4 linked regions of the Struthio camelus genome follow. The protein of the gene in region 1 interacts with the protein of each later gene in a pairwise test. Links are inferred from orthologs where the notes say so. Each region holds a gene or a part of one and is shown on either strand. Other genes may lie near its edges. The genes, in order: KXD1, CCDC185, GABARAPL1 and C4H4orf46.

The links.
Region 2: the proteins of KXD1 (region 1) and CCDC185 interact in a two-hybrid assay, tested with the Homo sapiens proteins (2 studies listed by BioGRID and IntAct). The two-hybrid records come from large-scale screens. The link is inferred for Struthio camelus from reciprocal best matches to the Homo sapiens genes KXD1 and CCDC185.
Region 3: the proteins of KXD1 (region 1) and GABARAPL1 interact in binary tests that used the Homo sapiens proteins (3 or more experiments, as listed by UniProt). The two-hybrid records come from large-scale screens. The link is inferred for Struthio camelus from reciprocal best matches to the Homo sapiens genes KXD1 and GABARAPL1.
Region 4: the proteins of KXD1 (region 1) and C4H4orf46 interact in binary tests that used the Homo sapiens proteins (3 or more experiments, as listed by UniProt). The two-hybrid records come from large-scale screens. The link is inferred for Struthio camelus from reciprocal best matches to the Homo sapiens genes KXD1 and C4orf46.

The regions. Positions count from the first base shown.
Region 1 is NC_090967.1:5,912,066-5,919,399, reverse strand, and holds KXD1 (kxDL motif-containing protein 1), read right to left. Parts: upstream 3,005-7,334; 5' UTR 2,846-3,004; intron 2,201-2,845; 5' UTR 2,186-2,200; coding exon 2,091-2,185; intron 1,934-2,090; coding exon 1,781-1,933; intron 1,073-1,780; coding exon 1,026-1,072; intron 598-1,025; coding exon 362-597; 3' UTR 129-361; downstream 1-128. Other genes in the region: peptidyl-prolyl cis-trans isomerase FKBP8, read left to right, coding at 3,278-3,356, 4,214-4,513, 4,947-5,116, 5,536-5,624, 5,806-6,023, 6,104-6,276, 6,400-6,477.
Region 2 is NC_090944.1:67,114,828-67,121,832, forward strand, and holds CCDC185 (coiled-coil domain-containing protein 185), read right to left. Parts: upstream 2,109-7,005; coding exon 510-2,108; downstream 1-509.
Region 3 is NC_090942.1:89,400,624-89,408,288, reverse strand, and holds the start of GABARAPL1 (gamma-aminobutyric acid receptor-associated protein-like 1), read right to left. Parts: upstream 3,009-7,665; 5' UTR 2,616-3,008; coding exon 2,526-2,615; intron 1-2,525. UniProt on the Homo sapiens protein: Ubiquitin-like modifier that increases cell-surface expression of kappa-type opioid receptor through facilitating anterograde intracellular trafficking of the receptor. Involved in formation of autophagosomal vacuoles.
Region 4 is NC_090945.1:41,088,435-41,096,393, reverse strand, and holds the start of C4H4orf46 (renal cancer differentiation gene 1 protein), read left to right. Parts: upstream 1-4,956; 5' UTR 4,957-5,019; coding exon 5,020-5,181; intron 5,182-5,409; coding exon 5,410-5,565; 3' UTR 5,566-7,875; coding exon of another isoform or gene 7,876-7,959. Other genes in the region: ETFDH (electron transfer flavoprotein-ubiquinone oxidoreductase, mitochondrial), read right to left, coding at 1,116-1,345, 2,162-2,308, 4,395-4,428; RXFP1 (relaxin receptor 1), read right to left, coding at 7,876-7,959.

The sequences.
Region 1 (7,334 bases):
GTTCCCAAGAAAAACACCCACACCCCGAGCTGTGGAGAGCGCTCTTCTGTTCCAAAGAGCCAAAGTCTAAATCAAACGTAGGGGTTTGCTGCTCTCCTGAACACACAAATGAGAAAGGACAAAAGGCGTTTCAAATCCATGTTTTACTTATTTGCCTGTATCAGGTTGCAGGGTATGCACTACGGTGGCAGTTTAGAGGCAGAAGGGGGTCTCTTCTTCACTCAGCCGTCACCTCTCAGCCTTCACTTCCCTCTTCCCAAAACAGTAATGGCCAAGGAAACACACAAATATAAATACAGGACAGGAAGTTCTCCACAGGCCAGGCAGCTGAGCTGGCTGTGGCTGTACAGTATCAGTACACCTAGTCCAGGTCATTGGCAGCTTCTTCATCTGTTAGACTCTGTCCGTTCACAGCCGGTGAATCGTACTGGCCTTGTGATAAATCCTCAAAATCCTGACTCATGGTTGGAGAGATAATGTCAGGGCTTGTGTCACAAGACTCCGTGCTCTGCTCAGAGGTAGCAATGGTGGTTGTCGTGCTTTTTGGAACAGGGTCAAAATCATCATCGTCATCTAGAATCGGAGATTCGTGGATGTCTGAAAGGGAAGACGCAGCAGTTAGTTTTACTGCTTTGGCCATCTGTGACAACAATACACAGCCCGTGTAACACCAGGTATGAGAGACGCTCTAACATAAGCACAGCAAAGAGTTTGCTCCCTTCTAATTCAAAGGTTTGACTGCTTGTAACAGTAATCAATAGATGGCTACTAATTTAGGTGACATCAGTTATTTGTGGCTTTGTAACCTCTTAAAAGCATATTTAAGAGAATAAAAAAAGCTCTCCAAACTTTTCACTGCAGCTACCATGAGCTGGCACATGCCTGGATGTCTCATTATTTCTTTCTTTAGAGGGGTCTCAACCCCAGAAAGTTGAGCCATGTGTCCTTAGGAAAAGGACTCCTCACGCTGAAAGCAAGCTGACATAAAAGCTGCAAGTCAGATTTAATAACAAAGAATCACTCACTGCTGAAGGCTTCTGGGTACTGTTTAGCTAGCTTCCCTTTCAGCGTCCTGCAAGAGCAGAGGAGAAAAAGAGAGCCAGGCTTACGCACGAGCTGACAAATCCCCCCCAGCGGCGGGCTGGTGAGTCCTCAGCACAGCTGGCCTCGGGGGTCGCTCCAGAGCTGAACCGCATCCCTCATCCTCTGACGCCCGGCTGCCAGACCAGCAGGCGCCTCCCGCTTTAGTTAGCTCTTTGGGGAACGTTGCGTCTTCCCCGTCTGTTCCCCAGGAAGCCCAGCACTGTGCCAAGAGGCTCCCTGCCCTCGGAGTCAAAACTTCCAGCGTTAGCCAGAGCTCCCACAGCTTCCCTGTCAGGAAACCGGGTACTTCTGCAAACCCCAAGTTTCGTAACCCTCCTGAGCAGCGCGAGCGCTGCGTCCCTCCCTGCTGACGCAGAGGGAGTGCAGAGAGTCACTGGCCCAGCTGCAAAGCCGGGATTCCTAAATTGGGATTCCTAAAGCTCCGAGCTCAGCAACCAGTGCCTCTCCCCACACCCACGTGTTTGCTCTGCTATGTGTTTTTCTCTCTCCACCTGTTTTTGGTTTCTGTGACGGTCCAAGATCCTTCATACAGGGGTGTCACATTTTAATACCCCTCTCTGCAGACAGCAGCGCTCCGTGATCTCTCTAGGTGAAGAGAGACCCTTTGGTTTCTGCATCTTCTCTCTTCCCCCACCACCCCCGGGGGACGTTCCCAGCCCCTTGACCCTGGCCCCACCTGATTCTTCGGAAGATGCTATCCAGGTCCTTTTTCATTTCAACGAGCGTCTTCGTGTGGTGCAAGAACCGCTCGTTCATCTGCTGCATGCGGACACTGGACAGGTTATTGAAGTTGAGCAGCATCTCGTTGGTCTTCTCGAATCGATCCAACCTGCTCAGAGCGAAAATGGGGCTCTGAAGATGCCTGGCGAGACCGCCCCCCCCCCCCGCCCAGCACGGCTCGCTGCCAGGGCCGTGCCCGGAGCCGGGGCACTCGTGAGCGCGGGGTTGGGTCCCCAGGGGAGACCGGTCACCCTGGGGCGACTCACATGTTCTTCTGGGCCTGGATGATGGCGTTGACGTCCTCGGCGTTGACCATGCCCATCACCCGGCCGCAGAACACCCGCGAGGCCGTGGGCTCCATCGCGCCCGCCGCCGCCTGCGGGACCGGCACGGGTTCGACTCGCCTCCCGCTCCCGGTAACAGAGACACCCCCCCCCCCCAACTGCATCCTGGCCCTGGTAACCGAGTTCCCCCCTGCAACTGCATCCCACTCCCGGTAATGGAGGACCCGCCTCCTGCATCCCAGCCCCGGTAACGGAGACCCCCCCCCCAGCCTGTCTTATCCCGCTCCCGGTAATGGAGCCCCTCCCCCCCCAACTGCATCCCAGCCCCGGTAACGGAGACCCCCCCCCACAGCCTGTCTTATCCCGCTCCCGGTAATGGAGCCCCCCCCCCCCCAACTGCATCCCAGCCCCGGTAACAGAGACCCCCCCCGCCCGCCCGCCCGCCATATCCCGGCCCCCGTTAGGGAAACACCCCCTCGCTCTGCCGTTTCTCGGCCCCGGTAACGGAGCCTCCCCCGGCCCCACCGAATCCCTCCCGTGACGGTGCCCTTCCTTCCTCCGTTAACGGAACCTCCCGCCGTCCTGTTCCCGGTATTGGAGCCGCCCCCCCCCCACCCGGTAACAGGGTCCCTCCCCCTCCCGTTAAAGGGGCTACTCGGGCCCGGTGCCTCCCAGCGGCGGCGCAGCGCGGCCCGGTAACGGCTGGGGCCTCCCGGCGGCGGCGGCGGCCCGCGCACCTGGGGGAGCCCGTCCCCGCGGCTTCACATGGCGGGGAGGCACCGGCGGCGGCACCGGCGGCGCGCGCGCTCGCTCGCCTCGCTTCCGGGACGCGGGTCACGCAGCGCGCGACGCCGTGACGTCAGCGCGCCCTTGCGTCACGGCGCCCGGCCGGAAGCGGCGGCCGCCGGCCCGCGGGAGGGGAGAAGCGGGGCCTCCCCGCGCCCGGTAAGGCCCATCCCTCCCCCTCTCCTCTCCCTCCCCGCTGGTGCCGGGGCCGCGGAGACCCGCGACGGGCGGGCCCGGACTTGCTACCGGCGTATAAATAACCCCGGGGCGGGGAGCGCGAGAGGCCTCCGGGGCCCGCTCGGGGCGCCGGCAGCTGCCCCTGCGCCCGGGGCTGCCCCGCGGCCCCTTTAAGGCGGTGCGGTGACGAGCTCTCGCTCCGCCCAATGGCGTTGGCGCTGGCGCGGCGCGGCCGTCCAATGGGAGCGGCGGGGCGGGGCCGGCGGCAGCTGACTCGCGGGCCAGGTGGGAGCGGCGGGGGGCGCGCGGCGGCGGCGGCCGTTGCTAGGGGGAGTCCTCGGCGCGTGACGGCGACGGTGACGTGGGGGCGCGCGCGCGCGCCCGCCCGGCCGGGGCGGGGGGAGAGCACGTGGCCGGCCGGCGGGGGTCTCCGGGGGTCGCGTCGGGCGGCTGCGCCCGCTGCCGAGTCTCCGCCGGTGCCCGGCGTCGCCGGGGCGTCTCCTACCCGCCCGTGCCCGGCTCCAGCGCCGCTTACAGGCTGCAGCGGGGCCGGCGAAGCGCCCGGGAAGGTGGCGGCAGCAGCAGCCGCCAGGCCTCGCTGCCGCGGAGGCCCTCGCCTCCCTGGGGAAGCCGGACTTCGGCCCTGCCGGGGCGCTCAGGCCTTTGGCCTGGACCACGTTCCGGTTGTCCAGCTCGCCGAGAGCAGCGTCGCCCGGGGCGGCCCTTGGGGCTGCCGCTCAGGCTCTCGCGCTTGCCTGCTGCGCAGCCTCCAGCTGCCGGGCCAGCGGGGAGACCCGCTTGCCCCGCACGCAGGTGTCTCAATACACAGAAACAGGCCAGAGCACCTGGCAGCTCGGCTCAGCCTGTCAGTGCATCCCGGCAGAGCAGGGGAGGGTCCCCCAAAACCTTACGGGAAAGGAAAGCGTGATCTGCTATTGCTGGCTGCTCTCTTTGGGGGCTGAGGTGCGAGGTCCGAATGAGCGAGCGACGGCTGCAGCTCTCCATCGGCGCAGGGTTGGTGGTATCTGTCCTGTTCCTAGTCACCGCTTGCAGTGTTCTGTCCAGGCTGGGGGAGGGCTGGCATTTGCGTTCATCCCCTTGGCAAACAAAGGACCAACCTCTTGAATGTCTTTCCCCTTTAGCTTGCTGTTCTCCCTGCTCTGCGGCAATGGCTTCCAGCGGGGAGGAGCAGAGCAGCAGCTCCCCGGACTGGGCGGACAGCGGCACGGACCTGTCCTGCCCGGAGCTCGCTGGAGCCAGCACATCCCCGCTTGACAGCGGGGAGGATTTTGAGGTCTTGGAAGATGATGATGATGACTTGAGCGAGCTGCCCCCGCTGGAGGACATGGGCCGGGTGAGGACCCCAGCGAAGGACTCCCAGTCCTCAGAGCAGGCCCCAGGGGAAGCAGCTGAGGACCCTCAGGAATGGCTCGATGTCTTGGGTAAGAGCCTACAGAGGAAACTTCTGCATCTTCTGCTCCTGTCCAAGGCGCTGAGCTGGCTCACGGAGCTGAACGGGCTTCTTCAGGGGAGGTCGGAGGAGGTGGGCTTCCCCACAGCTCTTCAGGCACTCTGGGAGCAGCAGCGCAGGAAGGACTGGACAGGCAGCTCTGCGCCTGAGCCGGTGCCAGGGGCCGAGGCTGCTGCTGGGCTCCGCCGTGGTTTGTGGGGATCCGTCGCTTAGGGTGGAGGTGGTGGGATGGTCGACGGGGTGACATGGTGGCGCTTCTCGCAGCAGAAAGGCCGGCTGGTGCGGGGGATCGCTGCTGGAAACCGGGGGACGTGGCTCGGAGCCAGGCCGTCTCCCTTTCCCCTCCCCGTGCAGGGCCCTGCCGCTGCGGTGGGCTGACGTGCCTCCGCCTTCTCCTTGCCCAGGGAGCGGCTTGCTCAAGAAGAAGACCCTGGTGCCGGGTCAGGGGGTGGAAAGCCGGCCACGCAAGGGCCAGGACGTCACTGTCCGCCTGAAGGCCACGCTGGAGGACGGCAGCGTGGTGGAGGAGAACCCCAGCCTCACCTTCACGCTGGGAGACTGCGATGTCTTGCAGGTAAGAGCCGGGAGGCCGAGCCCTGCGGCCAGGCTGCGGAGGAGAGCACAGTTAGAGGTGCAGCACTGGGCTCCTGTGCCTGCTCCCTCTAGCCTGGGCCTCCTGCTGACTGGGGATGGTGGGGGGTTTAACTCAGCACCCTGTTTCCAGACCACGTAAAGAAACGAATGTGGGTGCTGCAGGCTGATTGCCCAGTTCTGCCCTGCCGCTGTCCCTGGTTTATCGCTGTGTTGTTCTTACCGCGCTGGGCGGCACCTCGCTGCCCCGGGCCTGGGGCAGTAGGGGCGGCTGGCAGGGTCTGGAGTCGGCGACATCCCCAGCTGCGCAGTTCGTCTGCCAGTGGGAAGCAGCCGCTTGGCTTCCCTCTCTGGAGGGGCAGGACCTTTGCTCACCTCCTTCCACAAAATTGGTCTCTGTAGGCTCTGGACTTGTGTGTGCAGCTCCTGGAAATGGGAGAAACAGCCTTGATCATGTCAGATGCAAAGTACTGCTACGGCCCCCAGGGCAGGTGAGTGGGGAAGGGCAGACCGGAGGCGCTTGGAGCAGCCTGCGGCTTTGGTGAGATGCAAGTAGTGCTAAATCCCCTAAATCCCCATGGCCCAGCCTGGCTGGGGGAACTGGCAGAGGGGGCAGCCGTCAGCCAGGCCCTCGCTTTGCAAAAGCCCTCAGAAGTGCCCTCCTTGATGCAGGAGCCCTGATATCCCACCCAACGCAGCCCTCCTCCTGGAGGTGGAGCTGCTGGAGGCTCGGGACGCGCCGGACCTAGAGCTGCTCAACGGGAAGGAGAAGATAGCACTGGCCAACCGCAAGAGAGAGCGCGGCAACTTCTACTACCAGCAGGCAGACTACGTGCTGGCCATCAACTCCTACGACATCGCCCTCAAGGTCATCGACTCCAGCTCAAAAGGTATCGGCAGGCCTGCCCAGGGAGGAGGGCTGGCCGGGCTCCTGCCTTCCTGGCGTAACTGGGCTCTGGGATCCTTGCAGTCAACTTCAGCCCCGAGGAGGAGGCCGAGCTGCTAGATGTGAAGGTGAAATGTCTCAACAACCTGGCAGCCTCTCAGCTCAAACTGGATCATTACGAGGCAGCCCTGAAGTCCTGTAATCTCGTCTTGGAGCACCAGCCAGGGAACATCAAGGCCCTCTTCCGAAAGGGCAAGGTGAGACTGGGTGCACGGCGGGCTCTGCCTTCCACTCTCCACAGCCCGGCCACGGCAGGACAGAGGGCAGGGGTGAGGGATGGACCCCGAGTGCCCTGCTCAGCTTTGTGTCTCGCCTTCCAGGTCCTGGCCCAGCAGGGGGAATACAGAGAGGCCATCCCCATCTTAAAGGCGGCTTTGAAACTGGAGCCTTCGAACAAGGTAGGCTGCCCTGAGCGCTGCTAGCGATCCTGTTGAGCTGTGCTTTGCAGGGCTCTCCTCTTGGCCATGCAAAACTGCAAACCGTGGTGCTCCTGTGTAAGGGCTGGATATCCCGGCATGGTGCCCTGCGTGCTAGCACCCACGGTACAATGTCCGAGCTTGTCTGAGCTGGTGGGGCCCTTATCTCTGGGCTGTGATACTCTCTCTTTGCCCTTTGGTCCTTGCGGCAGCAGGACTCCCTGCCAACCCATCCGTAGCTCAGCAAGCCTGGGCGTAGGGTCCTGGCTACCCCAGCTTTGCGGGGCGGCTCCAGCGTGTTGTGTTGTTGCTGTTGGAGGTGGAGCACAGCCACGTCCTCGGAGTCACTTGCGGCAGCCCAGAGCATGATTCACTGGGCTGTGGGAGCAGCCCCAGAAGCCCTGGACCTCAGTCCAGCGCCCAGGCCAGCACAAGGCGTGAGCGATCCCTGGGTCAGGAATTTCCGGTCAGTTAATGATCAGCTGCTGGGCTGGAGCCTGGGGAGAAAGAAATCGAAAGCCCTGCCAGAACCAGGGAATGGCCCCAGCCAGCTGGGGGAGGACGCGGAGGGAGGTGCTGCCTGCGCGAGCTCGAGGCAGGGTGCTCAGCTGTACGGACAGGCATCAGTCCCGGATTGGGCTTGTTTTATCTGCCTTTTTCTTGGGCATTTCACGAGAACATCATTATTAGCATCATGTTTTCCAGTCTCTAAAGGCTGTGAGTAGGATGGGACCCTGGGAAACTAGGTGCTCTGTGGTTTAAAAGCATGCGAGACCCCCTGTCCCAGAGAGCTCATGGTCTGGGAGCACCCACAGGGTGCCACAGGGAAGGCTGGGCAG
Region 2 (7,005 bases), on another chromosome or scaffold:
AAATGTCTGATTCCACAATTTCACCATATAGTTTCCATACCAATTTGTAAGACTCCAGTGAATGCACAGATGGGTCACTTTAGATGGTCACAGATACGCGTAATTTCAACTAAAAGATCCCAGGTACACTCCAAGTACCTTTCATGTAGAGAGAACAACTAGAACCATTCTGACATTTGCAGCTCGAGGTGTAGCCAGCCTTGGAAATAGGGCTGAGCTGAAAGGGAGCCCCTGAGCCCTTGGGCAGGGGAGGTGGATGGGGAGCTGCAGGTGTGCCAGGCCAGGGCCATTAAGACCTCCTGGTGCTCTCAGGGTGCTGACAAAAATGAGCAGTGCATTTATGAGTTGCAGCAAGGTTAAGGTGAAACCGTTGTAGTGTAATACGATCCAGAGCTCTTGCCAAATCACAGAATGAATAAACTACAAATCATCTTTTTGGCACATAAATGGTTGCAATCTTTCTTTAAAGTTTTAAGAATACCTGCATTGTAACAGTCATCTAAAGCCATCTAGTCATATGCACGGCTATTCATCAGTTCTCTTACTTTTTGTCCCAGGCCATAAGATGTTGTGGGTATTCTTCTAGCTTTTCCTGAAGCAGATTCCTTATCTCTTAATATTTGATCACTCTTCTGATCTCGCCTTCTAATGGCTTCTTCTATTTCCTGTAGTCGACATTTTTCATCATCTTCAATTTTTTGCCTTTGAGAGTGATGGTTTCTTTCTTTTAAGCAGTTAATTTGCTTGCTGCGTTGTACTTTCTGTTGGATAGTTTTGGCCAGCATTTCTTGAGCTTGCTGAATTTTCATCTCAGCTATTTGCAGCAACATACTTTTACGTCTTCTCCTTTCTTCCTCTGTCTCTTTTGCTCTAAATTTGGCCATAACACTTCGTTTTTCTTCCTTTAGAGCTTTTTGTTTTGATTCCCTATTCCTTTCCTCCATCAGCTGATCAAGGATTTCTTTAGATCTTTGAAGTTTTTGCTCTATAGCGTGTCTCTTGCAAAGTTCATCAGCTTTGACTTGGTGATCAACTTGATCTTTCAGGCGTCTGTGTCTTGTCATTTCATACTGGTTCAACTCTTGTCTCTTCTTCTTCCTTTCAATTTCTTTTGAAAGCCTTTTCTCACAAGCCCGTGACATTTTGTCTCGGAGCAGATTATACTTCAAGTCTCTAGTATCCTGCTCCAGGATCTTTTTCTCTCTTAGCTGCTTTTCTTGACAATATTTCCTGTACTCAGCTTGCAGCTTTGATCTTTCAAGTTTTGCCTTGCGCTTGGTTTCTTCCTCCTGCGCCAGTCTCTTCCATTTATTCTCTCGCAACATCATTTCTTTCTGCCTGGCCTCCAAGAGTCGTTTCTCATCCAGCCTGCGTTTGGCCTTCCTTTGATCCTGGTCTCTCTGCCATCTCTTCAGGTTTTCCGCCATCAGCTGTTGCCTCTCCTCCCGTCTGGATCTGAGTTTCTTCTCCTGCCTTCTCACCTCATCCCAAACCTCAGAGGCCGGCAGCTGCCTCACCTTCGTGTCCTGCTCCTCCTGGCATCTGCACAGCGTCAGGGCACTCGCTGTCTTCTCCTTTTCAGGGATAAAATCGTACTTCTCGTCACCCAGACCGCGGAGCCTCTGGGGGGATGCGCCACTTCTTGGCCTCCGCTGGTAGTGGCCATCAGGGTAAAGGTTTTCCGCCTGCCCGTTGTCATCCTCACCGCTGCACCCCTCGGTGACGGTCTGCACCCGGTCCTGCAGGCTGCTGCTGCTCTCGCAGGCCTTGGGCCAAGCCCCGGCCTCAGCCCCCCTCTTCCCGGCCTTTCCGCTGACACTCTGCAGCTGGTCCAGGGAGAAGGAGGACGAGCAGGGGGAGGCCCCCGGGTGGTCGCAGCACCGCCGAGGCCCTGCTGCCCTGCGCCGGCCCCTGCCAGGCCCCGCCGAGGAGACGGTCGCAGGACGTGGTGCCCCTTGTCCCGGCCGTGGGCCCCGGCGGAGGCCGCCACGGGGCAGCATGGGGGCGGCAGGCAGGCGGGGACCACCGAGGCCGCTGCATCCTTCCCCGCCGGCCGCTGCCGGGCCGCGCAGGTGCCGGGTGCGGAGCGTCGCGCGCCGGTCCGCCATGTCCTGCCGGCAGCGGCGCAGGCCGCGGGGCGCCTCTGGGGCCCGCCCGCGCGCGCCGCCCCCGCCTTGTGGCCACCTCACGGCCACCTCGGCGTGGTGTCACAGTGGGGCAGTGTGGGCCCCGGCGGCGCCTGTGCTGCGGCTCGCTCTGGGGCCCGGCCCTGGCTGAAGCGGGCGGCGAGGCATGGGGGAGCCACCGGCAGGGCGGTGGGGCCAAAGGAGCTCGTGTAGGGGGTTTTCTTAGCTCTGTGCCCCAGATACGTCTCTGGAGCCGGGTATAAGGATGGGTTGGTACCGTGTAACTCTTAAAAGTGCTTTTTTGATGATGCTTTTTTGGTGGGTTCTTCACACGAAACACCAAACTTGCAGTCAGCCAGGGAGGACACCGCCGTAGCGGGGGAGAGTCACGGGTGGGACTGGACTTTTGGCCCTTCCACAGGGTCACCGCCTAAAGGCCTGGACTACTTCACCAGCGCTACAACCCCCTTCCCCGCCCCCAGCGTTGAAAACAGAAAGAGTGGGGTTGAGGAAAACGTGTTATTTAGGACAGTAAGACGAACCCCTTTGTCACACAGAGTGGCAAAGTATAGCATTCGTCTCGCAGGCGTACAATTGAAACAGATGGGTGGGCAGAGCTTAGAAGCGGAGGAAGCTAGCGAACTTTTTAGGCCCAAGGCCAATCTTAATATGGTGACTACATTCTTAATATACCTCTTTTAGAGGGACTGACTGAGGCGAGGTTTGTTTTACAACAGACAGCTCAAGGAGCCCATCCAACGTTACGGGAGAATCTTGTGGGGGTTTGTGAGCCTGGACCTAGTGTTAGTCACAGATGCTGTGAATGCTAGTGCTGCTTAAGAGCTGGACTTGAGGACCTGAAGAGGAATTTCAGTTTCTAAATCCCTTTGTGAATATAGCTTCTAGTTCTGCCAGCGTGATGAACACTTCTTCCAGCAAGGAGCTCTTGGACCAGTTGCTGAGTAAGGTCTCCAGATGGTTCAGCCCTATACCACAGAATGTCTCTTGGCTTCTTTGTTCCCTTTGGAGTCATACTACAGAGCGGCATGCTAGGGGGCTATGTTCTTTGCGGCTAATACCAATAAAATAGATGGCTGTGATTTAAATCAGCTGAAGCTCTTTTTAGTCTCAGCATGTGCGTTAGGCAGTACAATGATAAGTATTAATCCACCCTGGATGTTTTGAAGATGTAGATGGCTGTGAATAAGTCTTTTATCAATAATTAAGAGGCACAGTCCTTCTCAGAGACAGTTTTCTTTTAAGCTCCCAATGGAAGAAGCTGTATTTTTATCAGCCCTATAGATGACTTTTAATTGACTTTAACAACTGTGAGCACTTTATTTTCAGTATTACTGTAATGTAGTAATAAGTAAAAATCATTTTTAGTTAGTCTGCTATCTTCTGACAATCAATACATTGCATAAATTTTTTCAGCATATTTACTTTATTTCTTAGCTTTTTCAACACAAATTATGTTTGGTGGCTTCTTACTGGGCATTTTCTTAAACCTCTCTTTAAGAACTGTATGCCTTAAGTGAAGGTTTGGTTTATGTTTGCTTAGGTAATACTTCATTCTTTAAAATTAGACTCAGGAATCTTAATTATTTCACTACTCTGATACACTTATTTTGCACATGAAGTTTCTTGAATATGAGAATAACCCCCCCAAAACCTTGAATGAACAATAATGCATGCTCGTCATCCCACCTTGTGTATATCTGCCACTCTCCTGTATTGCAACAGATTGAATGTTTCATAATAAAAAGAGTTCTTATCCTCCTTTAAAGTGACAGAGATAATTTGGTCTTGGGATTATTATTTAAGTAGCTACTAAACATAATATACCTCAAAGCAGAGAGCACATGGAGAATGATGCAAATGAAAGCAGACGGCCTTCTCAAACTATTTGACTCTGAGTTCATAAAATGATTTATGAAAATGCGACTTATGGAGATGAATTACTGAAGGACCAGATGCATTAATTGTAAAAATTATGCCTGCGGAAATAAGGGCAAGAAAATAAAATTCTCCTACAAACCAAAGTACTACAAACATGCTGAAAATTGGAGCATCTTTATGCTAAAATATTCTACAGCATTCCTCGTAGAAAAACTATTTCAGGTAAATACCTAAAAAAATGAATCTATCAAGGATATTTAGGCAAATAGTATTAATATTGTTTCTAAGGGTGTCACAGATGCCATGAAGTAAAAAAAGTACTATTGTCCTCATCTTAGAGAGGAGGAACTGAAGAGAAAAAAATAGGAACACAGGGAATCTCTATTGAGCAAACAATTGAACCTGTCTTTTCTGACAGGTTGGCGCTAATCTATTCTTCCTCTCTAATATGCTGTCTACATCTGCATGCACTTGCAGTATAGTTTTGACATATATTGACGTAACTGAACTTGGAGTTGCTTATCATGCAAATCAATTACATTATCAGAGATGGCTCTTACCCAGAATTTTACAGTACTTAGCTTCCATTTCTTCATGTTGTGACAGGTGGCTGGCAAATTGGGCTTAAGAATGACTTAAGCTGTACATATTTTCTTTGCACAAGAGTTTTGTCTGAAATGATGGAGAATCAGTGTCTTACTGAGGAAACACCTTTAAAAAAGGTGAACATCAGCTCCTTGGTAGCTAACACAATTCAGAGAGGAAGCTGGTCTGACGTACAATGACGCCTGGCCATTTGTGAGAGAGCACAAAAGCTCCTCTGCATCTCTTTCTGGAGTTATGACATATGCTCCACTGGCGCTGCCAGACATTTAGGCCGGTTTACTGGTTGTATCGTTTCACTAAATTTACAACCCTACATATAATAGGCAAGAACATGGTATTTCAAGGTGGTATTATTACTGGGAATAATATATAATAATAATAACATTCATTAGGGCATATAAGTGCCGCTGTGTTGCGTATTTAGTCCCTCGGAGTATAAAAGGTAAAAGGCTTTATTACTAGTGATCAAAATGTATTTCTAAATGTATTTCTAAAAGTTCATTAAACTGCTGTCTTTGTAGTCTCCTTTTTTTGACGGCATCAGACTTTTGAAGTGCAGAATGATTAGTGCAGTCAGCCATACAATCAATCTTTTAAGTACTTGAATACCAAAATAACACTATAAATAAAATAGCCGTATAAATAAAAAACACTCAAATATTTTATTATTTCATTCCTTCTACCATGTTGACTAGGTAACTAGGGAGATTTAGTTTTTCTCTCACCTACCCATGACTTGCATCCATTTAAATGAATCTATCACTGAATAGCATTAGCAATATATGTATAGTAATATATATATAATATATAGAGCTGGAAAACTGTTTTATTGTGAACCACTGTCATTCTCTCTTACTCCTGCAGTTTCGTATAACTCTTAGCTGAGCATATTGCATGTTTGTTTTGTAGGGTCTGAAGTAGAGGTTGAGGGGTCATACTTTGGGTCACATTTAGCTGACCATAAAATTTCTTTATGAAAAATAGGCCACAGCAGGAATACATCTTTCACGCTACAGTCAGATGCAGACAGGAGGGCTAAAGGAGGTAAATGAATTAAGGACGTGGAAATACATTTTTTCTCTTCTTAGTGAAATACATTAAGCATAGGAAACAATAACCATCTGTTATGAGAAATGCTGGAGGTGAAAGGTTTCCAAGCTTCCTCCCGAGATAGAAGTTCAGGGTGGATCGCTCATGTCACATACAGTAAAGAACAGATAACTGCAAATGCAATCGAAGAAAACAAATATTTGACATCCTTATATTAAAAAAAAAACAAAAACAATTCTTCAGCTAGCTGGGATAGAAAGGCATCTCTCCATTGATTCTGACAGAGATTTACTTGTTTATACATGGCTTATCCTGAGAAATTATTTCTTTGATAATTACTGGGTGTAGGAGATATTACACATAGAGATGGAGCTCATCAATAGAATAGATATTTAGCCTTCCTCAAAATATTTACAGGTTGGATATTGGTTCAACTTATGTCAGAGAAGAAGCTAGCTTTAATCTTCAGGTCCTGATATCTGAGAAGTCTGAGTCTGCTATTATAAATGGTAGACAATAGCAAGCTTTCCTGTGTTAGCCTAGTTCATGGAAGAGAAGAAGCTGCCTACCAGAGGAAAATGAAACTTTCGCCCCTTGACGGTGAATGGACATGAACTGTGATAGCAGATGAGCTTATTGCTACTGCTTATGTTTGTTTTAATTAAGTTAGAAATTCTAAATGCCAAAAATAATCAAAATCCTGCAAGAGAAGATGGAAGGGCTTGTTGTAGCAGCAATTTCTGTTTTCTAGTCTGAGCAGGTCAGCCCACGTGAAGTTTGCCACTTTACCCATGTGTTTGCCATTAAAGCTGCTCCAAGAAAGCAGGAAGCATTCTTTAGGGAGTCCAGTAGGGTGCACTAAGAGGCTATTACACATGCAGCTAGTGGGAAATTGCACTGAGATCAAACAACTTGGGCATCAGTTTGTTTCTGTTGTTTTTTTTTTCTTTTAAAGGTGACTATATTAATTTGGAAAACAACAGTACCTTTCATGAATGATCAAAGCTGTCATGTAAGAAATTGCAGGAAACTTAACATATTCAAGCCATCACTGAGCAATATTGTCCTGCTTTCCTGAGAGAGGTGCTTTAAATTCAATTTCATTTTGAGAACACTCTACAATTGCAGTAGAACCATTCATAACATGATTGAGGTCAGCGATTTTATCTCAGAGTAGGTCCCACTAATCGCTTGGTTTCATATGTTATTGGTTGTGAGGAAGATTCTAATTATGTTTCTACCCTGTGAAGGACTGGTTAATACAAAGAAATCTCATCTCCTTTTATGATGTGTTCAGCCTAGCAGTTACTTTTGTTCTAAATTG
Region 3 (7,665 bases), on another chromosome or scaffold:
GAAGCATTTTCTCATGTTCAGATGGCGTTTCCTGTGTTATGATGATGGGCCTGTTTTAGCCTGGGCAAAGTGCCATAATAATCCAGGTCTACTCTATCTACACCAAGTGAGTATCTGCAAAGAATGCCTCACCATAGAGATACTAACTTGGCCATCTCTTCACTGTGCCTCATTTGGATGCTTTCAACATGGCCCAAAGTCCTGAAAATTTAAATTTGTTTTTAAAATAGAAGTATGGCCATCACTGCCTTTTCAAGAACCTGATTTTTCAAGCACCTCGATTAGTACAAGTCATTCAAGCTCTCTGAGATACGTTGTGATAGGATATGTATTTCTATGCAGAGGCAATTGACATAGGACAATGCTGTGAAGGAAGGATAGTTTCAAGATCTCACTGAATAGATGTCGGCTCAACAGCAATAGCACTTTGCAGGTTCTTTTACCCACACATACTACAAGGCATTATCTAACACAATAAATTGCAATGAAAAGAAACCTTTCTTTCTTCACAATTACCAAAACTGCAGACACGTAGAACTGTTAGCCAGCAGCAGTGATATGCCCATCCTGACCCAACAGGATAGATCGTAATTGGTTGTTAGATAATAAAGGAAAAGAAGATGGTGGTGAAATCCAAAGGTATATCGTGCCTGTGAGGAAGAAGGGAGAATGCTGGGGCTTCTAAATCCCCAGGAAGCATTCAAATTAGATAATCACTGAGCTTAACAAGTCTCCCTCTTGCAAAGAAGCAGAGCAGGAAAGAAGGTGCTTTGCTAAACTGATTATCAACAGCAGTTAGTTTGCCTGGTAACACAGGTATCTCTTTCTGAAGTACTAAAACCTTCACGCACCCATGCATGCACACACCCCCTCCCCCCCTACCCCGACAAAGAAAATCCAAAGTGTAGCAACAGATTATCTGCATATTTGTTGTTGCTGGGTGGTGTCAGCGGTAACATGGGACTGTGCCAACATTATAATCTCAGCAAAACGCTGAGATGCATCAGGGCACTACCATGTAGGCAGCCAAAGGGATGTCGTCTTCAAGGATCCTGCTGTCAGGAAGGGCAGAGACATGTGATGCAAAGAACCCTGTCAGCTGCATTCATCTGTTCCATATGCAGCTCTCTCAACAGGCTTCCCCCTCATAATCCACATCTGGGCCTCCCCATGCAGATTTTCTCATTTATCCTTAACTGCAGCACACCTTGCTCTTTGGGTCCCAGTTTCTTCCCTACAGTTCTGCTCATGCCCCTCTACCTTGATCTCGTTTACCTCTTGCCAGACCAGGTCTGGTCCTTGGCTCCCCACATATGGCTTTTCTGGACACATCTCTCAGGATCTGGAGCACAAACTGCCATGCTAATCTTCAGTTTATAGTTTATCTCACTTCTGACCTAGAGCATTTTCTGTGGTCCTCATCTTAAAACTCGCAAGAGTGTCCACTTCATCATTGTCTAGCTGTATTCTCAACGTGCTATGCTAGGCCAAGGGTCCCTGAATTTGCAGCTCAGCCAAATGCACCCAAATTCTGACTTTCCAGCATTTTTACAAGCCCAGCTGTAGGCCACTCTAAGATACAAAATGGTGCTGGTCTCTCCGGAAAACATGTAGCATAACTGTTTTCCCTTAGGCTTAGATTCACAGGGGAGTCTCAGTTCAGTACCCCGGACAGTAAATCTAGGACAGATCTCTCCAGTGGGGATGGAAAGAAAGAACATTTGCAAAACATTTAATAGGAAAAAAAAACCCACACAATTAATTTGATATATCATTTCTTTTTTTCCAATTATTACCAGTAATTATAAAACTAGAAGCCTTCCACAGGCATTCCAAAGGGACCTAAGGAGGAGGAAGTAAAGTTTGGCTAAGAGATCAAAACCTTGTTTCCTAAGTGATGCTTTTTCCATAAGAAGGTTAAACAGGAGGGCAGAAGGCTAAGAAATTAGTGTCGTTTTTCTCTCATGTAAAGCACAAGAACAGAACAAGACTATACTGAAAAGACAGGCCAAAAGAAAGTAAAATAAAAAATAAAGGGAACATATCTGACAACATGGATACAGCTCTAGTTTTCTATGAAGAGTACATGGTAAACTCGTTGTTCTCCTCCATTTTCACAGAGCAGATGATAAGCTCCTTCCCCACCCCCCAGCCCCATGCACACAGGCTGCCATAGAAAGATTAGCAGCATTCGAGCTGTCAAATTGCTGCAGATTCCTGAAAGAGGGAGGGTATATTACACCCTGCCATCCTCATACCTACTGCTAATAGAGACCAACATAAAAAATAATCATAGGTTTGCACTAAAGAGAAAAGCAGGCTGGATTTAGAACAGCAAGGTAAACATCATGCTTACTAATCTAATTTGCTTTCCCTTTAATAAAGGGGGGGGAAAAAAGGACAACAATTGATAATGAGAACAAAGAGAGGCAGAATGGCAGCATGACATGTAAGGCAAGCCCCGCAAGCAGCAATCTTGCAATCCCCTGCTGCTGTCCGAGTATACATTCACACACCGCACTCACAGGGACTCTGTCGGGATATTTCTTTCTGATTTTCTCCCCTTCCTTTTTCCTGTACTCGAAAGGATGGTCTTCTTTGTACTGGAACTTCATGCTGGTGTACTGCCCAAGCGTCAGCTGCCCCTCCGAGGGCTGCTGCCGCTTCGTGAGCTACGACTGGGCACTTCGCAACGCAGCGGGCCACGGAGCCGTGCGGAGCTTGCGCGGCCGCTGCGACCCCCGCGCCGCGCCGCGCCCACCTGCGGCAGGACGCGGCCGCCCTGGAACACAGAAACAGCGCTGGGGCAAATCGGGCATTGTGACGTCACAGGGAGGCACCTCTGCCGTCATTCCAGACGGTTCCACTGCACCCGAGGGGGGGGGGAGGAGGAGCGGCTGCCGCAGCGTGCGGGGCCGACGACGGCGGTCTCTACCGGCCCGTCCCTCCGGCGCCCCCGCGGCAGCGCCAGGCTCCCGCGGGCGGGAGCAGGGGCTGGCCCGCGCCCCACGGCGGGTAGGGGGCGCGCAGGGTACCCCCCCATCAGCTCGTGGGCGACGCCCTCGCTACAAAGGGCTCCCGGGCGAAACCACTGCCTTGGCGGGGGGAGGGCGGCATGCGGCAAAATCATAACAGTGCGGCAGGACAAGGGCACGGCGGTGTCCGCGCCCTGCAGCGCGGGCAGCCGCGGGGCGCGGGGCAAGGGGTCAGCGCCGTGCAAGGCAGCGGGCAGAGTTGGGGCCTGCTTTCGCTTGGGAGCAGGTGACAGCTGCAGCTCTTGCTCCCTCTCTTGCGCAGGGCTTGTGTCACACTCCGTGCCATGCAGGGTTGTGGTTTTTTTTAATCATTGTTATTATTATATATATATATTTTTTACTGTACTGTACTGGTTGTCGCCTCATTCCCCCTCCCCCCACCAAACACAATACAAAGGCAAAATGAGCCTATAATTGAGCAGTGTCACTATCTCCAGCATGACTCAGGGGTTATGAATACAGCCGAGCAGCCGCATGAACGGAGATATCCATCTCTGCGGGTTGCAGGCAGCCATGCTGCTTCTCCCTCCTTGCCAGTGCTGTTTAACACACCGTGGTGTACAAGGCCCATGAAGGGACAGCTGCCCTGGCCGGGGGCTCCCTGCCCTGGGAGCAGAGTGGGCAGGCACACAGCCCGGGGAGCGCTGTCACAAAAAGAGCTGCACGGCAAGGCTCACAGCAGCTAGCGGATCTGTAATTCATTGGCACTTGGACAACCCCCGACCTATCTTAAGAACAGGGCAAATTCGGAGAATTTCCCTTTGATGGCCGTGAAGGTGGGCAGTGGGGCTGTGGAGCATGGCTTGCAGGGCTCTGGCCTGGATCAGCTGCTGCATGTCCCCAGGCCTCAGTTTCCCCAAGTAATGCTTGAATGCCTCTGCTTCCACTTATTTAAAACAGAGGTGACGAGACTGACCTATTTAAGTGGCTGCCAGATCTAAGAGGAAAAAAATACAAGTTTTAGTGACTAACATTGTCATTATTGGGTCTGGATTATTCTCCTGTTTATGAAGTTTCAGTTAAATAATAAGGGGCGGAAAGTGTGATGTGTAATGCACCTGACCAGAGGCACATTACAAACAGCACACAGTTAAAGTGAACTGTTTGCAAACAAGCCAAAGCAGTGGGGCAATTTTAGCCCAGTTACTCAACAGATAACATATTTGGAATATCTTTGGGTTTTTGGGGGGCAGTTAGGCTCACAGTATTTAGTGACTAGAAGAAAGGAAGGTACTAATGAATGGATCACCATGCTCAAATCAGTACAAAAATTAATTGCTGCTATCCTGGGGAAAATGAACAACTGAATGGGAGCATATCAAAATGTTCTAAGTCTCTCAATTCATGCCTCATGCAGAGGAGCAGAACTTTTTCAAGGATTATCTTTTATTTGTGTAGTAATTTTAATTGAAGTAGGAGGTGCTGAGCAGGACAATGAACTGCCTTGAATGCTTGATGTGTCCAAGGCTACACCAGTGGCATAAGTGAGAGAACCTGGGTTCCCCATATCTCATTCAACGTTCTGCCAATGTGTTGCATCAGAATTAACCAGGATAAGAAAAAACGTTGCTATTTTGCAGGCACCCTCTTTCTAGCGCGTGATCAATGCAGAAGAAATCCAGACTAAAGTGAAGAGTCAGCTTGATTCTGGAAGCACAAAAAAACAAAAAAAAAGAAAGAAATTGAAGAGTAAGCAGTAGCTGGATCAAAGATGTTCCTTAGTGATAAAAACAGAGTCAAGGGTGCATAAAACTCTGGTCTTTTTCTAGAGGTACTCACATAAATCCTTTAGTTGCCCCAAGTAACTCATAGTTCAGACACTACTGGTGGCTGTATCTCTATATTACTAATATGCACACCTGAGTTGCCTGCAGGGTGCAACTGAGATGCTGACACCAGGGTTAGGAAGGAGCCTGTTACAAATTTCCACAGCATATCCAGGATATTAGTCTGTCCCCTCTGCCTTGTAGAGAGTTGTGTCATATACTATCCACTTTTGCTTTCAAAAGCAGGCAGCCTCTGAGCCTGAACTCAGAGGTCCTTTGATAGTTTTCTTTCTCCAAGCCCTGTTGCACCCTAATCTCCTTGATTTTGCATATGGGTAAGATAGGTGTGGCGGAAATAAATTTTCTTTGATGCAGGTACGTTCAGATGGTGGCAGTTTCCAGGTACTCTTGTCTGGCATGAGAAAGTGAATCAGAAATCTCACCTACACTTAACAGCATGGGTGCATACAGCTGAGCTTGTCATCTTAAGTTGCCTTTAGAGTCAACGGAGATAAATAGGCATGGGTTGTGATTTTTCTCTCCTGAATATAGACATCTACTTTCGGATGTTCGTGTACCCCTCACGGACTCTGGCAGAGGCTTTTGTGTCTAAGTTTTTACTGCTCCACACTGTATAATGTGACTTTCTGCATAGCACAACAATCTATTCCAATAGGCACGTACCAGCACCTCTTAATGGTACTGCAGTGCAGTGGGAATGGCATAGATCAGTGTGTCTCAGCCTTCACTAGTTCATATGCACATTATTAGTACAGGAAGCATCATCAGCTTGTTTCTGTCTGTCCCAAGACATGTGAATACTTCCCCGTGGCTGCAGGTAGTGTCAGAGGATCTCAGAATGGTGAGTCAGAAACAAGGGATCATTTTTGTGCAGTACCATAGCAAGGCCTAGACTGAAGAAAGACCAGGGGTTACACCTGGGGAAAATTCTAGTTTCATGGCGCAGCACCTTTCTGTACTACCCGTGTTTGTCCTCCTCCTTGCCTCCTAATTGCATGCAGCACAAAAGTTGGCAAGTGTATTGAAGGTGTGTAATGGTGTAGATGCCTTTTCCTCAAGGACACAAGAGAACGGAATTTTTCCAGCCTATTTCACGCAGACTGCCAACCTATTCTGTCCATTTTAACAAATCAGTTCTCCTGTTGTCCTGCTGTAATTGCTGTGTCCCACTACAGGACTATATACAGAGCAGTTGGACAAGGCTCTTGTTTGAAATTTTGTTGACAAACCAGGGAGGAGCTTTGGTGTTCTTCCCTGCTCTGGTATAGCCAGTGAGAGCATTGCCAGGTGGCTCTTCCTCCCCAACAAATCCTGTGTTGGGATCACAAATCTCCTTACGGAACTGTTTCTGCCATGAAGATGCAGCCCTAGATGTGCAGCCACAAGACTCACTCCTCCCACTTCCTGCTTCCTCCCTGTCAGGCACTGAATTCCCAACTGTCTCCACTTATTCAATAATAACAGTAACGTCACTGCCACAACAGCAAGCAGGAAGATGATACATGCAGAAGAAGTGACAAGCAGGTAATCATCTGACTTTGAATTCCTATTAAAATGCCAAGCCATATGCATGTGACAAACCCCACGTTCTAGGTCTGTGTGCTAAAAGGAGGAATTGGAGATGAGGTTCGCTGGTTTTCCCACACTGGATGCCCAGCACAAACTGGTCCACAAAGTGGCCAAACAATGTACTTTTAACCTAGAATGTCTGAACAGTTTGAACTTGTAGCACATTGCTGTGTCTGCAGATCATGTGAGCAGATAGGTTCACTTTGAAAGAGATTGCATTGCCAGTGTTGTAGCCAGATAAACAGGAGATAAAAATATTTATGCAGGTTCCCAGATGGTTTTGTAGCCCATGCTGTACAACACAGCGCTCCAGGAGCACTCCTAGGAGCTTTGCAGTGCAGTACTGGGAGGTGAAACTGACTTGGGTGTATCTGCACTAATGACTAAAATTCAATAACTTCACAGTAAAAATATCCCTATTGTTTGCCCTAGGTGTCTTGGAGGTGTTATCCAGGTGGATGTCTCTTGGGAACTTGCTGGAGTTGCTGTTTATTCCTGTCAGCTGCTTGAAACTCTGAATCTCCTTGAATATTTATTGTATTAGTACCTCCCCCTGGATATTTTTTTCCTTTTGTAGCTCCTGAGGCTGACTTTTTTTAATCTTTAGTGTAGTTTCAGGCATATCAAAGCCTCTCTTGTCAGAAAACTTCTAAAGTGTAGGTTGAATCATTATTAAACCAGAGGGAGTGTATCAGAAGTCACTTGTAATTCTGTTCTGTTTGCTGTCTGTCTGAGATACATGGATAGTTCCCCAGTCCTTGGCACCTCCCCTGCACCGCTTGTGACTGGTCACTAGTTTCACTTGGCACTGAATCTGTAGCAGCTCCAGAGCCAGTATGGGCACATTGGCCCTGGGTGAGGGTGCAGGGCTGGTCACTCCTAGCAAACAATGGCTGATTGTGTATATGTTTTCCTTTCCTTTAGGAAAGGACTCTGTATTGTCTACGCTGAACTCTCATCTCATTTACCTATTTTCTACAGCTTCTTGTTTTTGCGTGGTCACTGCACCCAAACTGATTGAACAGTCCTGACTCTGCTCAAGTTGCTGAAATGCATACAAATAATACTGTAAGGAGTTTAAAGAAGGTACCTCTTTGCGTGATGAAGATGGCGAAAGCCCAGATCTGAATAACACAAGTTTGGGATTTAAAGATCCCTTTGTTCCATCTGATGGTTTGCAATGGCATGTTGGGGAAGGGTACCATTGTTACTTACAGTCTTGTGAAAAGAAAGGAACAATGCACTAACGGGCTGCTGGGATATTTTTGAATACC
Region 4 (7,959 bases), on another chromosome or scaffold:
CTCACAAGAGAGAAGATAAAAGTAACCTAATGAAGTGATCAGCGTTCCCCTAGACACCACAACTCATACTCTTGCACACACGCATTATTTTGTATTACAGTCTGTTAAATTTATAGAAACCGTGCAGATACATTATACCTGCTCTGGAAAGCATTATTTTGAACTTCTTGACTAGAGAAGATTATGCAGGAAGAGTGAGTTACACAGCCACAAGCCTGAGCTTGCTTGGTCTCTGCAAAAAACCAGAAATTGTATGCAAAAACCTGGAGGTCTTTTGCTGGAGCTTGGCTATGCTGCAAATCATATCACACTTAACCATCATAACATACAGTAGCTGTCAGCACTCCCCAAGACAAAAAAAAACAGTAGTTAAATATGTAAAATACGTAAAATGTAAAATAGTATGTAAAATAACGATCAGGCAAGAATGACCACAGCTACTGAGGAAACAAAACTGTATAAAGTCCTCCAAGTTTGTACATATGCTTGTACTACACCAATATTCCAGAGATTTCTAAAGAAGGCAACTCAACTTGCAGGTCACGTTCAGCCCACTAAAACAACAGTCCATCTAGTCAACAGCCCACCTCCTGCAGCTCCTAGGTGATATTAAGAGGGCTGGCTGCAAGTCAGATGGGTTGTTCTCGCAGAGATGACAGCTTGCTGCCTGTTACCCTCTCTCCTACAAGCATGTTAGGCTTCCATCATATCACCATGTCTGCACATAAATCAGTGTATTGTACATCACTCTCTGAGCACATGCAGAACGACTGCCTAGAAGTAGCAAGTTTGACATTGCAAAGAAACCATTATCTTATGGCTTGTGCACGGGAGTTGGATTCTGCACAAATGCAGCAAATCTAGTGCATCCCAGGATGCACTAGACGTACTTTGTATGTGCACTACCCTATAAAGAAAAGCAAAGGCCACAGTGTATCTGTTTAGACATAAAAAATTAGCATTGATGCGCTAAAGGAAAACAGACTAAAAACAAGACAGAGCGTTTTTCTGGTAAGTCACCACATTTTAAATGGAACGAAGGTAGAAAAGAATGAGTTGGATACAGAGTTTATTACCTTAGAGATGAACTGCAATGTTTACAGGTTCATACATACCCCCCGCTCCTTCCAGTCCGGAAAAAGTTCTTCTAAGGACCGTGGCTCAAGACAAGCACCAGAAAGTGTATGTGCACCAATCTGAGCGGCTTTTTCCACCAGACAAACACGTACTTCTTTGCCATGCTCAGTGGCTAACTGTTTGAGTCGAATAGCTGCAGAAAGACCCGCAGGGCCTCCTCCGACTATGACAACATCAGCTTCCTCTGCAAATCTTTCCATGTTTACTCCTTCAATAGGACAACAGATGATAAAACAAATGGATCTCCAGTTTCTCCTGCCCTCTCTCTCACTAAATCTTGCTTTGCGATACTGCTACCAGGTAACGCAGTAACATCACCTTGCATAAAAGAAGGCCAAATATTCAACAGAATGCTCACTTCAGTACTTGGAAGAGGGTAGAAGGACATTAGTATTCATTTTGTCAATGTACAATCAACTCTTTGTAAGTTGTAAGAAGATATACCATAAAAACATATTCAATCTGTATACACTGTAGGTAAGTATCAGCAATGTTAAAAATAAGAGCCTGGTTGCCTAGCTGTATCAAAGATACTTGGTGAAACTCTAGGAAGAGAGAAAGAAAAGAAAAAAAATCTTTAGTCAGAACAAGTTATTTTATTTTACTCTAGTTAATCAGCTACTGTTATGGAATTGAAGACATTAAAATTGCTGAATATATAGACTGGAATGGCCAGAGATATATATTCCTCTTATTTTGTCACAAACTTTCATGGCGAGAGCAACTGAAAAATCCAAAAAATACAGACCTGACTGAATTCAATCTTGTTGTGATAGTCACCCAAGTAAAAAGAATTTATAAACTTTTTTGACGTAACTAGAATCCAGTCAAATCTGACCTGATTTTATAGTGCTCAACACAATCGTTGTGAGATAGCAACCGTAAAATTTCATTTGGGATATTAGTACTGTACTTAACAGAATATAATTTCTGTAAAAAGAAAAAATCGGCAACACACTTCAGTGTTGTTAAAATTGAGTAATAACAATAAAAAGATGCTTTTAAAACACATGTTTTCACTTACCTTCCCATCGTTTGTCTTTGTCCCGAGGATGAATAGTATAATGCGTAGTTATACGAGGCACAGAGGTAGTAGATGCACATGCTGCAATATGCAGTGATGGAAGGCAGTCTCTCTTTAACAACTTTAAAACATGAAAACACAGACGTGCTGCAAAAACAAAAAACAGATTCACCAAATCATTAGCTTTCCAAAGTTTTCTATATTTCAGAGACACAATGGCACAACAAATACGACAGCCCCTTAAAAGGCTGCCAGGTCAAATGAAGATGAGGAAGCGTATAAATAGATTTTTAGTTATTCAGCAACTAGGACTGTGCATGTGTAATTTTAAATTTAAAAAATAAATAAAAAATAGAGAGCTTTCCCTTTAAGTGAATAGCACTCAAGGAATAAGTACACCAGCCAACCAATTCTGACAGCTGGCATACCACAGCATGCACGTACAAAGGAAAAAGACATTCTAAGTTCCTACGTCATTTTGAACATCAAAAGATTTATTGAAGACATCATTAAAAAGGACTAAACAACTGTAGAGAGAGGACATACAAGTTCATCCCTTTTGCAATCTCAACACATGTTCAGACACACAGCTTGGGCTGCTGATTCTAAGCAGCTGATCTAAAATAAATGTCACCATCTACAGTAAAAGCCAAGACTTAAACAAATATACTTTAGCAAGGCTAGAAATAGATACAGGTAATAAAGACACGCAATCTTTACCTTTGCTACAGAAACATTAATAGTTGCCACAACAAATTATGCATTCTCTTAAGTCTCAAATAAGCAAAATAAGACAAAAGGGCATGTTACATGCTTGTTCTAATTTCCGTCTTTCACAAAAAAAAAATCATGTTTTGGAGCTGTATGTGATCTGTTCTCAGAGAGCTAGTAAGTGTAGCACCAAAACTAGTTATAGTTACAAGATTTGTCAAGTAACGCACACTAAGTGGTATTTTCCCTTCCATTATGGATTCCCTTAGTCTAATTTCAGGGCAGAGAGGGAGAATACTATATTTGAAACACAGTATTTCTGCAAAACCACATAAGCAAAACCACCAACATACTGATGTTCGCTGATGTGTTTCATTGCCAACGGTGATTAACAAGGCCACCACAAACATCCTCCATCATAATTACATAGTGATAGTCGGGGTACTGGTCTCCATATGCAAGGTAATAATAAACGGACATAGATAATACTTTTAGGTTAACAGCAATTTTGCACATAACAAACATAACATAAACATTATTACTATAAGTAACAAGTAATTCTTATCACGACTCACAAGTACCCTTCACCTGCACAGCTAGGTAAAGCTGTGTAAGCTGGACAGCTTCAAATAATGGATCTGAGAACAAGCAATGTGTTTTATACGTAGGATAATAACTACACCAATATACATTAAAACACAATACCATAACTTCATTTCTGAGCTATTTTATTTGAGCAAGACCGATAGCACTATGAGTTACACAGTACTGCTGCTTGGCAAAAATAAAAAGTGAAATTGACTTAGGAATATGTTTAATAAACACAAAGGCAGGTCCAAACTCTGCAACGGCACCTGAACAGACATACTCTTTTCACCCAACGACCTGGAACCTGGGCGACTGTGTTACTGCAGAGCTGAGAGCTTACGGACTTGGCAGTTCGCATACGTGCAGCAATGAACAGTGAGTACGAAGCGGTGCAAACAATCGCTAAGAAAAGAGCAAAAACTCGCTCCCACGAAGTTCTTTGACAACCGCCGCCAAGGCATTACTTCTACGATTATTACCTCGATAACGACGTACATCCAATTACCTTACCCTTTAAAACACGCTACACCTAGCAAAGATCGCTGCAAAACAGACAGCTCTTTACAGCGCCGCGTTACATTTTAACACCAGACACAGCACGTTAACAAAATACACCGGTAGCCCAACCCTTGCAGGTGCTTACTGCGTAGTTTCACCCTCGGAAGCACATTTAAACCAGCAGAGACCGCAGAGACCGCTCCGACGAGGAGGGAGCAGCTGCTGCGGGACAGCCGCCCCCCAGCGCCCCCGAAACCTCCCCACAGGCGATGCCGGTGGGGCGCCCCCCACCCCCGCGCAGGCGCCGCGGCCCGGAGCGGCCGGTGGCGCCGCGGCCGCGCCGACCTTTGCCCTAATTCCGCGCCAGCTGCCGCCCCCGCCCCAGGTCGCCGTGCCCCGCCGCGGCCCGCTGCCCCGCCGCGAGCCGGCACGTTACCTCGGCTGGAGGACGGGCAGACAGGCGGCAGCATGACGGCGGCAGCTCTCCACTCTCCCCTCAGCGCTCGCACCTCCTCTCCACCGCGCCCACCCCACCCCGGCTCCCCTCGGCCCCGCCGCGCCTGCGCACTCGGCTGCCTGCCGGGCGACACACGCCCCGTCCCGCCCCACCCGCGCTGCCAGGACTACAGCTCCCAGGGCTCCCCGCGCGAGGCGCCGGCGGGACATACCACGCATGCGCCTGGCCACCACGGCCCGCGGAGGAACGCTTGCCCTGGTCTGATATTTAAACGCAGGCACATGGAGATGGCGACGCGCTGGTTTACACATTTTTTGCGCCGTGTGCGCTACAAACAAGACCAAGCGCTAGCTAACAACCCAGGCGGGCACCACGGGAAGAAAGACTACCGTTCCCGGCGTGCAGCGCGGCGCCCATAATTCCAAGCGGCGCTGTGCAGCACCGCCCCGTTCCCCCGTCGCACGCCCTGCCTGGTCTCGCCGCAGTGCCTGCCGGGATACCCGCGAGCCTTTCCCCGGAGCCGTTGGGGCGGGGCGGGGCGGGGCGGGGCGAGCGTTGCAGCGCGCGGAGCCGTTGGGCGGGCCGGGCGGCAGCGGCGCGGAGCATGGCCGAGGCAGGACCGCTGCAGCCCACAGCGCTCCCGGAGGGCCCGCCCGCCGCCGGGCCCAGGAGGAGCCGCAGCTGGAGCAGGGGGGCGCGGCCGCCGGAGCAGCTCGCTGGCGACCCGCAGGAGCTGCTGGAGGAGGTGGAGATGCAGATCGGCGACGTGAGTGACGCCGCGGCGGGAAGCGCTGGGAAGGGGGCCCGGGCGGCGGTAACGGCGGCTCCGGTCCCTGCAGCCCGGCCTCCTCGCTCCTGCCCGGCTCCGGCCGAGGCCTCCCCGCTGCCGCGGCACTGGGAAAGCGGGGCGCCAGCGAGTTGTCAAGCCGGGAGCCCTTTCCGGGTGCGTCTCGGCGCGTATTGCTGACCCCCAACCTCTCGCTCTGTCCTCTAGGCTGCCTTCTCGCTGACAAAGATCCTGGAGGCGACGTCTGCTGTATCAGCCCAGGTGGAAGAGCTTGCGACCAAATGTTCTGAAAATGCCAGATTTCTTAAGACATGGCGGGACCTGCTGAAGGAGGGGTATGATTCCCTGAAACCCAGCGAGTAGCTGGGCCGTCATGGAAAAAGTGGGAACTTCTGCTGCCTGATGAGGGATGTTGAGAGGGGAGTCATCCCACAGTATTTACCTTTTGCTGACCGTGCCTTGTGACAGTAGAGCTTGATTGGCATCATACCACGTTGTCTGCTTATATTAGACTTGAATGTGTTACTGCACACTGTGCCTAGTTTTTTTTTTAAAACAACTTTTTTAGCGATTTCACATGGTGAGTTTATTTTTTCATCAACAACTCATTTTGAGCTAGAAGAGAGTTCTTTGGAAAATACTTGTATGTGTACCAAAACTATGTATAAGTTTCTGAGTAAAATAACTTTGTTCAGGGGAGTTATCAGTTGTAACTCTTGGACTCCTCCTTTGCAGCTCAGGTGATCTCATATGTGAAAGAACTTTCATTTTTTGCTAATATAATGGAGACAAAGTTAACTTGTAAGGTACATCTAGAACTCACCAGCTGTGGGGGGGAGTGGTAGCCCATGAAAATATAGTCAGCCATCCTTTTAAGAACTTTGACTGTGCTAGAAGAAGCCCTCTTAGCTCCAGGGAAACTTGTCAAACTAATTTTTCTTTGTGCATGCTTTTTCTTCAGGTTGAGGATGGGATAATATGGCTAGTGAAGTCTTATTTAAGAGCTATAGATAAGCCACCCTATCCCAAATCTTACTATTTTAGGCAGTATTGCAATATATTTCTATAAAGATGCATTTGTTTTACAAACAGTTTGATAATTGGAAACATGTTACGCCAGACTTTTTGTAATAAATACAAAGTGCCTTATGCATTGACCTTAGATATATGTTTGGTAGAAATTTAACTGTGTTGCTTACTGATAGGATGGATTATTTGGAATTATTAATACAAGCTTCCTTCAGTTAGAATAAGTGTTTGTAAACTGTATTCTCTCATCTCTGGGGCAGCAGCTTGTTCTGTTTTTGGCCTATTGTATGTCCTGCCTCAAGCAGTAACTAATTAATTAATCTAGTTTGTACTATAAACAGGACCTTTTGGTCTGAAAGATCACTAATCTGTAATAAATAGTTGCATTGAAACTTCTGTATCCCTTACCAGAGTAATGTGAAAAAATAATGCTGAAATGCAAGGGGAAGCTTCAGGAGAATGTGGCTGTACCGTGACTTGTAGCAAGCCTAATTGTCACTGGTAGGAGGATTTTTAAAAGACAAACCGTAGTTTTGTTATCAAAAGAATAAAGATGTTACACCAAATTAGGAACTAACTAATATTCTTAAGGTACTGGTAGGAAACAAAAAAATACTGAATACATCCATAATCAACTTCAAGTGAAAACAGAAGTAGTGGTAAGGACAGGTGTCCTTAACATTCCTTATAAAAAGCAGTTATTGTCATTGAGAATGCTGAGCTTCTATGATAATTAAAAGGGCAATCCACATTGCAGGAATTCACTGAGCTATTTTTTCCAGTACCCTAAACAACTTGGAAAAGAAGTCACTTTGATCAGCAGATCATCCTTTATTGAAATAAAATATACAGTAGTGGAAACAAGATGCTCAACAAATTTTGATTTCAAGATGATCCAAAATTCTGTAAACAGTTAAAGTGTGAGTCACACTAAGTTTTAATTCAGCTTCTTACATACTTAAGAAGTTAAGTGCAAATACTAGAAGTAACTTTTAACTTTCTTTTAAAGAACTTCAAGATCATCAATGCAGAAGAGGCATTTCTTTTTCTTGGGCTGCTAGGCCATTGGACTGAGTGTGGTATTAGAGGAGAACTAAGGAAGTCATAGTAATTGGTAGTGGAAAATGTTCTTTTCAGTAAATAAGTGAATAAATTGCCTCCGTTTGTGTCCTTATACCTTCTTCTATGTACAAAGATGATTGTTTTAGGTGAGGTAAAATGATTTTACCTTGTAACACTGGGGAGTACAGTACTACTCAAGTGCTCAATGATTGCATTCCCTAAATTATTTTAACCATAATGCATTCAATTTGATGCACAAGGTGATTAAAACTTAGATGGCATGACAACTATTAAGACTGATAGGCCTCTATTTGTCAGTCTCTCACTTGGTTTGAGAGGTGGAGGAGGAATAAAAAGAGACTTAACTTTTCATCCTGATCAAGGATGAGTTGTCAAAAGGTCAGGAACTGTTGCAAGACGAAAAAATTATTTTTGTATCAGTTCTCCCTGCAAGTAGACACATTGATCTACTTTCTTCCTGCTTTGACTGCTGGTTCTGGTGAGTCAGTGTGTCCCCTCCCTTGTTATTTTCCTCATTGCTATAAAGCAGTAAATCCACGTATGTGAAGGTTCATAATGTGTTTATGTGTATGAATTTAGTCTGGTTGACTGTGTAGTCACTGATGCCTCAGAGGAGTCTGTACAAAGAACAGGCTTCGATAGCTT